Linked DNA regions of Caenorhabditis elegans. The protein of the gene in region 1 interacts with the protein of each later gene in a pairwise test. Each region holds a gene or a part of one and is shown on either strand. Other genes may lie near its edges.

Evidence for each region. Proteins that work in one complex are often made in the same cells at the same time.
Region 2: the proteins of mpk-1 (region 1) and lst-1 interact in a two-hybrid assay, tested with the Caenorhabditis elegans proteins (4 studies listed by BioGRID).

Annotation. Positions count from the first base shown.
Region 1 is NC_003281.10:4,224,896-4,230,644, forward strand, and holds the start of mpk-1 (Mitogen-activated protein kinase mpk-1), read right to left. Parts: upstream 3,200-5,749; coding exon 2,996-3,199; intron 1-2,995. Other genes in the region: F43C1.5 (uncharacterized protein), read left to right, coding at 4,302-4,370, 4,416-4,532, 4,653-4,792, 4,844-4,920, 4,994-5,215, 5,458-5,498; Nuclear hormone receptor family member nhr-20, read right to left, coding at 5,728-5,749. UniProt on the Caenorhabditis elegans protein: Functions in let-60 Ras signaling pathway; acts downstream of lin-45 raf kinase, but before the lin-1 gene product in controlling vulval cell differentiation. Plays a negative role in proximal germline proliferation in the mitotic zone.
Region 2 is NC_003279.8:10,586,202-10,591,114, forward strand, and holds lst-1 (Lateral signaling target 1 protein), read left to right. Parts: upstream 1-2,299; 5' UTR 2,300-2,310; coding exon 2,311-2,340; intron 2,341-2,471; exon of another isoform or gene 2,472-2,477; coding exon 2,478-2,546; intron 2,547-2,732; coding exon 2,733-3,278; intron 3,279-3,360; coding exon 3,361-3,614; intron 3,615-3,791; coding exon 3,792-3,879; 3' UTR 3,880-4,263; downstream 4,264-4,913. Other genes in the region: Histone-lysine N-methyltransferase set-18, read left to right, coding at 4,612-4,701, 4,748-4,913. UniProt on the Caenorhabditis elegans protein: Plays a role in germline stem cell maintenance, perhaps acting in concert with mRNA-binding factor fbf-2.

The DNA.
Region 1 (5,749 bases):
CCAAACGAAACATGAACAAACAGTAGCCAAATGGTTGGTTTTGTTAGGATTTCAGAGTGAGTGCCAGTAGACTTCCCTTGGCAAACAATGCGTGTGTTCTATTCTCAGCCATCTCCGGGGGGCAAACAGGGGGCGATTTTCGGATGAGACATCAAGGAGAAGCATCAACTAATGTAGACGTTGTGGTGCAAATACACTTAGAAGCCCTTTTTGGAGTAGAGAAAAAGGAAAAAAAGAAGAAAAGACGAGTTTCTCCATTTTTTGAGTTAAATGAGGCGAAGAGGAAGGGAAAAAAGTATTCAAATGACTGGATCTGCACCGATGAGCACAACACGTTAATGAAGTTCGAATAACGAATTAAAGGATATAGGATGCATGTCTTTTTAGTTCGACATAGAAAAAAGGAGTATACTTTTCTATTTTCCTTTTTGCAGTTGCGAACTATCATTTTTTGAGAGTAAATAAAATCTCGCGTCACTTTTTTCTTTTGCAAAATCTGAGATTCTCGCCCAAATCACAAATCCAGAGATTAAGAAAACGCGGAATTTTCGATGAAATGGAAAAGAGAAAAAAAAATCTCTCACAAATGAATTATTAGAGTTTGGAAAATTAATCGTTTTTATGTTACGATGAGATTTAATGCGGAATATGGAGCTAGCAAGTTCAATTCTGAAAGTCGCAAAGTAGAAAAGAACCTGCCGAAATTTTTTTGAAATCCATATAAAATTTTAATGAAAATCGATCTTTTGAACGAGCTCTTCTTGTCGTCCGCATTTCCATCTTAAATCTCAAATTTCGAAGCGTGTAATTCTACGCTTTTCTCTTCTTTCTAACGTCTTCAATTTCTTCATCTCCTCCTACTCATCATCTTCATCGACAAATAAACCAACGCGTACAATTACGGTTTTACGATTCCGAGGAGAAGAATGATGAGTGTTGCTCTTCTTTCATATCAAATTGGTTTTTTCTTCCATGCAGCTCTCCACGCAACAATAAAAACCGAACGAAAATGAGAGGAAATCCGACACAAAACACACCCAATTCCGAGGAAAATTGAAACATATGTGTTGTCGAATGAGTAAGAATTTTGAAAGAAGATTCAATTCGAGAAATAATGTCGGGAAATTCAGTTTGTCTCAGTTGCAAAAACTTCCGGGATATTGGAAACGTTCCGAGTGAGAATTTGGCCAATTGAACATATGAGTTTTATAATGTTCAATGCCTTTTTCAACTTATTTCCATGGTTTTTCAGATGTAAAATTCCAGATTTTCAGATTTCTGGTTCAGAATTGAATATCAGATTCTCAAATTTAAGGAAAAATTGGTAGTCGGAATTTTTGTTTTCATTTCCTGTTGAGTTCGCATTCATTCTATATAGAAGAAACTATAGATTCATCATGACAAAAAATGGTATTCAACAATTGTAACAGATGTATGAAGTTATTAGATAAAAAACTAATTAGTTTCTGAAAACTACTACTGAACACTTTAACTCCGGAAAAATTCAATTTCGATACTGTGAAACTACAATGAATCAATCTACATTCATTTTGAGAAACATAAATAATACACAAAGTACCTCACACCTCTGTCAGTCATTCACCCGGGTACACAACGGGATTTCAAAATAATAGTTTGTTGATGGAAAGCGGGTAGAAGATAGATCAACATCAATTATTAGTGTAAATCCTCGGGGTTCCCAAAGGAATACGTGTCAAAGTACAGTAAACTGTAGCTCAAGTCCGGAAAAAAGGAAAAATCTGGGTCATCTAGGCCAAACGCACGAAGAAAACTTCCGGAAGATGGATTCTTGTATTTGAACACTCCTTTTCGATTTTTCCTTGTTCGTTTAAAAGTTCTGATTTTCGGTTTGAAAAAAAAACATTGTTTTTCTCTCCAATCTCCGCTTGCACGCTGGAATGTCAATCAGACGACCAATTCAATTAATTCTATTAGATTTTAGATGTCTTAACTGGAAACTTTAGAAGAATGCAAATATATTCAATTTGGGGGACACTCAGATTACGGTAATTTGTAGTGGAACCTCGAAAATACAACTATTACCCAGTAGCGAAATTTTAGGATTTTTACGCCAAAAAATACGGTACCCAGTTTCGATTTTTTAAATAGTTTTTCTCATAATTAAAAAAAAACCTTTTTTTTAATTTGAGGTTAAAAAAAATTTTATCGAAAAATTTTGATGAAAATTACACAGCAAAGTTTAAAATTACAGTACTCTTTAAAGGCGCACACTTATTTGCATTTACCAAAAAATGTGTCGTTTCGAGACCGGGTATCGCATTTTGGGATACATACGAAATGTTCAAGTTGTGAACAGTTTTTTTCTACTAGCAGAAATTCAAATTTCGTTGAAAAACTACGATTCTAAGAGGTGTTCCGGTATAAACTAAATACGTCAATGAAGTGTCAATCTGCAAAAATCATCAAACCTTCAAGCTTAAAACACAAAGCACAATTTCTGGTTTAAAATTTGAATTTTTTCATTCAAATCAACCATTTTCATTGAGCTATTCAAACTTTCACACTTCCGTTTCTCTCTTTTCCAATTCAAAAACTACCAATCAACGTCACATCACTAATCTTTTCTTCCAGCACACACACACAGTACTCTGTCACGGTAGTCTTAATAGGCTAATAAAAGTACAAAGTTAGTGGTTTTGATGCAATACGCAACTTATTTTCCCGATAATGGGAGCACAATGGGCAAATCAACCCGATTACGTGCTATGTTCTGATTATTTGAACATTGTGCACTTTTTTGAAAACGTTTTGTGAATTTTGCAATTAAATTGAATGACTTAATTTTTTAATGTATTTTTACTTTCTAATTTAAATTCAATGTAGAAATTCAATGCAAAAATTTCAAATTTTCCAACTGACCAAAGAGCATTTTAATATTTTTCAGCTTCTAAAAATGCTTGTTTTTGTTTATTTTTCTCCAACTTTTTTTTTCATATTTTCTTATCATTCGTACCTTTCTATGTCCTGAACGAGTGTACTGCCATTTCTGTTGTCTGACGTGGTTGGTTGCTCCATTCGGTATGTTGCTCGAATTACGGTATGCCAATGATCCCGGAGCAGATTGTTGTTGTGTCGCTTGTGGATGCCCGTTCGATGGTGGTTTAGCATTTCTCGTTGTCGGCTGTGCGCACAAATTGTTAGGTATCCACGTTGGCATCATGTTTCGTGGTTCTGAAATTAAAGAATTATTAGTTTTATGAAGAAGAAGTTCTGGCAACGGATAAAAATATTTGAGAGTGTGAAATATTTCGTCGGAAAAGAAATTTCTGATATTGCAAAGGAACTTTTTTTGAAAATTCCCTCAATTTACCAAATTTAACTGTTAAAAAAAACTATAGATTTCTTTTTCTGAATTTTTAATGATTTTTTTCAATTTTGCAAAAATAAAAGAAACGGCTCCATGATTTTTTTTTTGATTTTTTTGTGAAGAAAACTTGACGACCTGAAATAAAATTTCGGAAACTTTAAAATCAGTTCAAAATTCGATTATTTAACTATTATTTCATTTTTTGTTTAAAAATGTATGAAAAGTGAAATTATAAAAATCCATGAATTTTGCCAGAAAGTGCAAAAATTCAAATTCCCTTCCGCCGATTTTGTATTTATATTTCAGCGAAATTGAATAAATCATTGAAAAATTAAACACTGTTTTTTTTTACAGATATATTCGGGACATAAGGCAAATTTTCGTATTTTCTAGCTCAATGGATACACTAAATAAAGGAAAAAAAATCGTATAGAACTTTTCCCGCAGTAAAAGTAAAACTGGCCAACTATGTAAAAACAGAAAATGCAGAAAATCTATTCGAAAGTTGTTTTTATGAATAAAAAGTCTATGAGTTTCTCCTCGTCAATTAATTAGCTTCGTCAGAAAATGCATAATATTGTTCCTGTTTTGAAGCCATTTATCTTTTGTATGGTTTCCCAAATCACTATGTTGAAGTAAAAAAGAGCAAAAATCATTTATGATGTCAGAGAAAGCTTTTTTCCGAACTTTAGAGACTCTAACTTGCAGTTTTTCAAAAAAAAAACTCCGAGTTTACTAGCAATTTCACTCCAAATTCTGCCTATTTTCCCTGTATTTTTTCATAACTCTCTCACCGCAGACCGATAATACAATCACCATTGTACACACACAACACTGTCTCATTCTTTTTGACCGCCCACCCAAAATGTTTAATATTTGTACGAGCGTTCTTCTTCATAATGCTGACTCATTTCATTTTCAACACTATTTTTCAGCTTTTTCTAACGAAATAATGACGGATTATGATGACTATGAAGACCGATCTGGTGTGGTAGAAGAAGAACTATTGGATTTTGATAGAGTACGTCTAGAATCAAATTTGGCAACAAATTTTCAAAATATTCAGGCAATGCTGGACTTTCAAGCTATGTTTCCCAGTCTAAGCAATTCACATATTGAATATGTTCTACGGAAATATGATGGAGATGTTTCAGCCACTATTAATGAGCTACTTTATGATAACGTATGTTAATTTTTTTGTTTATAGAAATTATTGCTTTACTACACGAGAAAGCACTGTCAGCGAGAATATTGTATCTCAATTGTTCAAATTTCGATCGATAAATTCCAAAAATAATTTCAGACGCCAACTACAACGACTTCTGAATCTATTCCACATGGAGGAGACTTAACAAAATTAAGGCAGCGAAGGCATGAAATAAACGAAAAACTGAGAGAAAATCAAAAATTTTTGGATACGGTTACAGATGTGGAAATTGCGAGGTAGAAAATAAAATTATTTATACACTGAAAATCGTGAGAAATAAATTTCAGAGCATATGAAGACCAACAACTGGCCTTATTACTTGAACACCGAGAAGTGAACACCCTTATCAGTGAGGAGAAAAAGAGTGAGCTTTTATTTTTGGGAAAATATGGGAAAAACAGGAGAAAATAAACACGTGGCGTCACAATTTCTTTCAGAAAAGTCATGTTCTGACTCATCTTCTATTCAAGAATCGCGCCGGCATGTGAAAATTCCCGGGAAAAATTCGAAAAATTCTAAAATTAGTGTGAACAAAGCGAAAAAATTGGAACCGAGACGACGATCGGACGAAGATCGTGTTCCAGATGGACCATACATCGGGGAGGGAGAAGTAAAATCGGAGAATTTCGCGGCGAAAATAAAGGAAACGTTGAGAAAAGGTGGGGTGGCCATGATTTATAGGGTCGCGAGACTATGTTTAGTTGATATTTCGATAAAACATCTGTGAAACCATTAAAAATCACAAATTTCCCGCAAAAAATCAAAGAGAAATAACGATTTTTGCAGAAAAAAACAAAGAAAATTAAAAAAAAATTTTTTTGAAAAATGAAAAGTCCGCAAATACGCGTGGCGGTGTTTGCGTATTTCACCAACTACCGTACCCAAATATTATTTTTTTCAGCTTCCGGATCACGAATTTCGAGATTATTTTCAGCACCATAATCTAAATTGTTATTTTTTCAGTTGTTAAATAAAAAGGAGACTCATAATGAATTCATTTTATTTTATCACATTGCAGATTGATCACATTTGAAATGCGCAACTATATTTTGTATTAGGAACAGTAAATACAAGAAAATGGGAGACAGAAGATGAGAGAGAACCCGTAAAATGTTGATTTTTCCATATAAAGTATTAAAATATTAAAAACAAAAAAAGAAAACAAATTCCACTAAAGTGTCAACAGGGATTTT
Region 2 (4,913 bases), on another chromosome or scaffold:
AACCGAGATATAAGTTAACAAAGTAACAGTACTTGGGTGCACCATGTTTTTGTCGCTCCACTTAAATAGACCTTTCTTGGCTTATTATATAGTTATTAAAAATGTTTAATTACAAAAATATAGAAAAATAAATTATTATCACAATGTTAGTTTGCAATTTTTAAATTTAGCAAAAAGATAGTCAAGTTGTGAGCTACCAAAGTCTGAGAATCACAGGCCACCTTCTCTTTTCCGGAGGCGATTTCGGGTGAGAGAGGGTGATTGTGAGTTGCGCCCCCCGTCGAAAGGTTACGCGATAACTAATATTTAGTGAGTAAGTAAAATAGTTTAGAAACAAAATATTGGGTGGTTTACTCTAACCTCCCGAATGCCATCTAAATATTTACATACTGATAAAGTTCAAATAGCACACAGGTTTTTTGTGTACACTTTTTCACTTACTCGAAACATAAGATGTTCGCTATTTATTTAAGATTTTAAGAAGAAGATTACTTCTTAACTTATTACTAATAGTAAGCATTCTTCTAGAAAACTAAAATTTTATTTTTCCTCCAGCTTTAAAGTATTCGAATACTTGACCTCAATCTGTCTCTCATGTTCCTCCATCTGTTCAAATACGTGACAAAAAACTGATAAGAAGGAGAGCTTGCACTTGAAGTTTACACTTTTAATAATCTTTCAATTGTTACTACTGACGGCATTCCATTTAGTTAATCGGTTTATTGAATTTTGAGTGTGATTTGATAAAAAGAAAGTTAGTGAGAATTGAATCGCGTTCCTAGTGATAAAGTTTTTGGAAACTTTATAGTTTTCGTTGTTTTGTAGTTTTTTCTTTACAATCGAAATTTTATTGTATGGCACCAAAGTAAGCTAAAGGCACACAGGTCCATTCGGATGGGTCTCGCCACGAAAAAATGTTTTGATAGCCCATTTTTGTGGTGATCGCTGCAGAATTTTCAAAGATTTTTTCGTAGGTTTTCGGTAAAATTTTTTATAAAACTTAAATATTTATAAAAATTAGAAAAAACACATAAATTGTGCCAAATGTAAGAAAAACTATTTTGAAAAATCGATGAAAATTCGACGGAAACGAACATTTTGAATCTACAGTAGTCTCAAGGAGTACTGTAGATTTAAGGCGCAAACCTGCTTGTATTTAACATAAATTCAAGACCTGGTACTTTATTTTCGTCGTAAAAATTGCAAAATTTCGTACCTAGGTAATATTTTTATTTTTTATTTTTTTAAAACAAAATTTTCATGCAGTTCCGTTTTCAAAACGATAATAAAATCTTCGAAGTGTCTGAAATGTCGCTTTTTTGTTATCTTAAACCTTTTTTCCGTTTAAATTTAATGTTTCCTTGATAAGTTCCAATTTCCCAAACATCTGAGAATGCTTAGATATCTTCCCAAAATGTTTTCAAATTGACAAATGGCTGTATTGTTCAATGATTCATCTTGTCATTCTTTTCTCCTAAAGAAGAGGTCTCCATTCATCTTCTACCTGCCGTTATTGACCACCTACTGTCGTAGTTTTTATCGTTTCATTTAGTCACTCTAATTACTCTCATCTCTTTTCATTTTTCCCCCATTTCGATTGAAATTAGATTAGTTCCGATTGAAAGTGTTCGGATTTTAGGTTGATGAGGCTTCGATGACAATTTTACATTCCAATTTTAAAACTTCTATATTTTACGAACGAAATATTTCCAATTCCGGGACGCGTTGAGAGGTATGCGCCTTTAAGAAATACAGTAACCCGCTTGCAAGGAATTTTACACGTTATTTTTTTCTCGCTAAGATTTTTTTTTTGCCTTATTTTTCAGGTTTTCATGTAATTCTGCTTATTTTTGAAATAGAAAAACTAGAAAAAGCTTAAGAAAATTGCGAAAGGGGAGTGGGTTACTGTACATCTTAAAGGCGCACACCTTTTTGAGCGGCTTCGATTAATGGGAAACTATTTTCTTTCCCATCTGGGAACGTTTTTCTCAAATTTAATTGCTTGCCCAAGCGATTTTGAGGTTTTTTTTCAATTTTCAGACTAATCCAATGTTTTTTCTTTAAAAATAAACTTTTTGTCGATTAAAAACATGTTTTTAAATGTTTTTAAAGCCCGCGAAATTCAAAAAAGCTCTTGCATTCTTGCTCCATTGCATTTTCCCACGCCTCCCCCAGGCGTGGGAAAATACGTGGGAAAATGACAACTTTCCCACGCTTGTTATTTTCGATGAATTGTCCAATTATTCGTCGGTGCCATGTTCTTTCTCATTTCAAAAGAATTATTTGACTATTCAATCTTCGCGCGAGACAATGTGTTCGACTTTTATTCTTCCTCCAAGAGTGAGTTCACTTTTTTTTTGAAATTAAATATGTATTTTCTCTTTCCGATTGAATTGTTTCAACGATGATCCCGATTCTCCAACTTTCTCCATTTCTTTTATTACCTTCAGTTTTATAATAATATTATCATTTTTCAGAGAAACAACTGCAACAAAAGCAGTAGTACCATCGCCTACTCGAAGTCGCAACACGAGGCGCCGAAGCAAGTGAGTTGGAAGTTTTATTTTTCGTTTATATAAACGTGTCGAAACTGACCTATTTTTTGTCACGCCGTTCACGTGGCTTTCGTCACTAAATAGAATTTTGCGCTCCAAAAACAGAATTTTGCTCTTTTTTAATTAAAATAAATAATTTTTCATTAAATAGACGTAATTAATAAAAATTAATTTCAGCTGCTTCAACTCCGATCTGAAATCAAGCCGCTGATTCCGCTCAATCAACCTTCCAATTTTTGGGAATCCAGTCAAGATAGCGGAGTTCTCTCCAGCTTGTCATCTTCTCCCCAACAACGTTCGGGCCTGAGAAGTCAAAAATTGCATTTGACGTATATAGAGAAGAACAAGAGAGTTCGTGCAATGATTCCACAACAACAGCATTATCATGCATTTGATCGCCCGACACACTACAATTCTCGAAAAACGTCTGGCCCACCACCACTGATGAGAACACCATCTTCCGGATTTTCGTCGGCTTCTTCGTCGGAGAACATGTTTTCTGGATTGACATTGTCAGACAATGAGAACAAAATCCACGAAATCATGGATCCATCAGTTGACGTGGATCTTGACATGTTTCTTTTGCCTGATTGTCGATACAAGCAACCAGTGCAACCATCAACCAGCACATCCCGTAACAATGTGAGCCAGATCAGCGGGTCGAGTCGTCTAAATGGATCCACGAGACATGTCGCACCAATTGTTCCAAAAGTTGCAATGCCGGTGAGTTTAAAATAAATTTTAAGTGATTTTAAAGAAATCAAATTATAATTTTCAAAATTCAATAAAAATTTACTTTTTTCAGTCGGAGTTATCATATGCCAACGTGAAGCGTTCAAGTGGATATGTGGATTATATGCCAACAACTTACAATTCCAACGTGACGTCCAATTCGTCTGCAGCATCGGTTCCAATGTCTCCGGGCACATGGGTTCGGTGTCACTATTGCTGGGAGTCGTATGTGAAACTGTGCCAACGAGTTGCAAATCTCGAACCACTCATCTCATGTGATGGCCCATGGAATTGGCATACACTTTATGATATGCAAGGACGAGTCACGTATGTTTTTATTTATTCTTTGAAATCTAAAAATTGATATTTTTATCGAAACACGACCTAAAATTTTCTTTTAAAAAATTGTGTTGGAATTCGTAATTTTTTCGATTTTTAAATATCTAAACTTCGAAAATCTAATAATTTTTTTAAAAAAATCTTCTCAAATTATTATTATTTCAGATGTCCCCGACTGTGGTTTGCTCAACTCGATCGTGCCGGTTCAGAAATGGTCGAACAAATGGGACACGCTCGAAATGTTCCAGTCTAAGCAATAAAATTGGTTTAAATATCAATTAATTTATATTTTACCACCCCCTTCAAATGTTCTTCTTGTTTTACACTATCATCCAAAAAAATGCGGTTCTCTTCTTGATTCTTTTGTTGACGAATACGGGCATTCCGTGTGAGCGTTTTTCTTTTTTATATTAATTCTTTCTGATCCTTATTAGCTCCTGCCACACACACCATTTTATGTTTAACTTACATATTACCACCATCCCTGTTTTTTGATCCCCTTCCCTTTTTTAATAAAACATAATCAACTGTGCGAATTATGTGAATTTCAAATCCCATCCAATCTTTCGCTGTATATCCATGTGCTCTTTTGTCTCTGGTGGGATCTTGCCCGATAAAATAAAGATGTCAAATATTTACTTTTCGCTATTCTTATTCATTTATTGGCAGGAATTTCAGAAATTAAATCTCAAATTGGGATGAGGCACACAGTTGAAGATTTTCGGAATTTTCCACACATTATTCATCGATCACTGGAAACATAATATCATGCGCGAATAGATTGAACATGCTTCAACAAACTTCTCGAAGGATCGATGCATAGGGGTGCTCCAAGAGGCTTCTCGTGTGTAATATTTGCCGTGATTACACTCATCCACATCTCGCGAACTCTCCGCCTTTCCCTCTTTTTCCTGTTTCTTCTCGAAAAATCTTTACTATTCGACACTTTTTGTGAACATTTATTTTTCTACTGAAACTTCTGAAAATGGCTGTAAAAAAGAATAAGAATGTGCCAAAACAGGAGGATCCATTGGTTCAGAAAGACGAAATTTCGTCGATTCATGCTAGAATTAAGGTGATTTTTTTTGTACTTATTTAATTTCTTAAAAATCAAATTACAGATTTTCGAGACACCGTTCGCCACTCAAGTTCTCAATCCAAAAGTGAGCGAATTCTGTGCAAACTGTCTTCGTGGTCCTGCTCCAGGAGAGAAGCTTCTTCGTTGTGGTGGATGTAATTTCTCAATGTATTGTAGTAAAGAGTGTCAGGCAACTGCCTGGTTAGTTC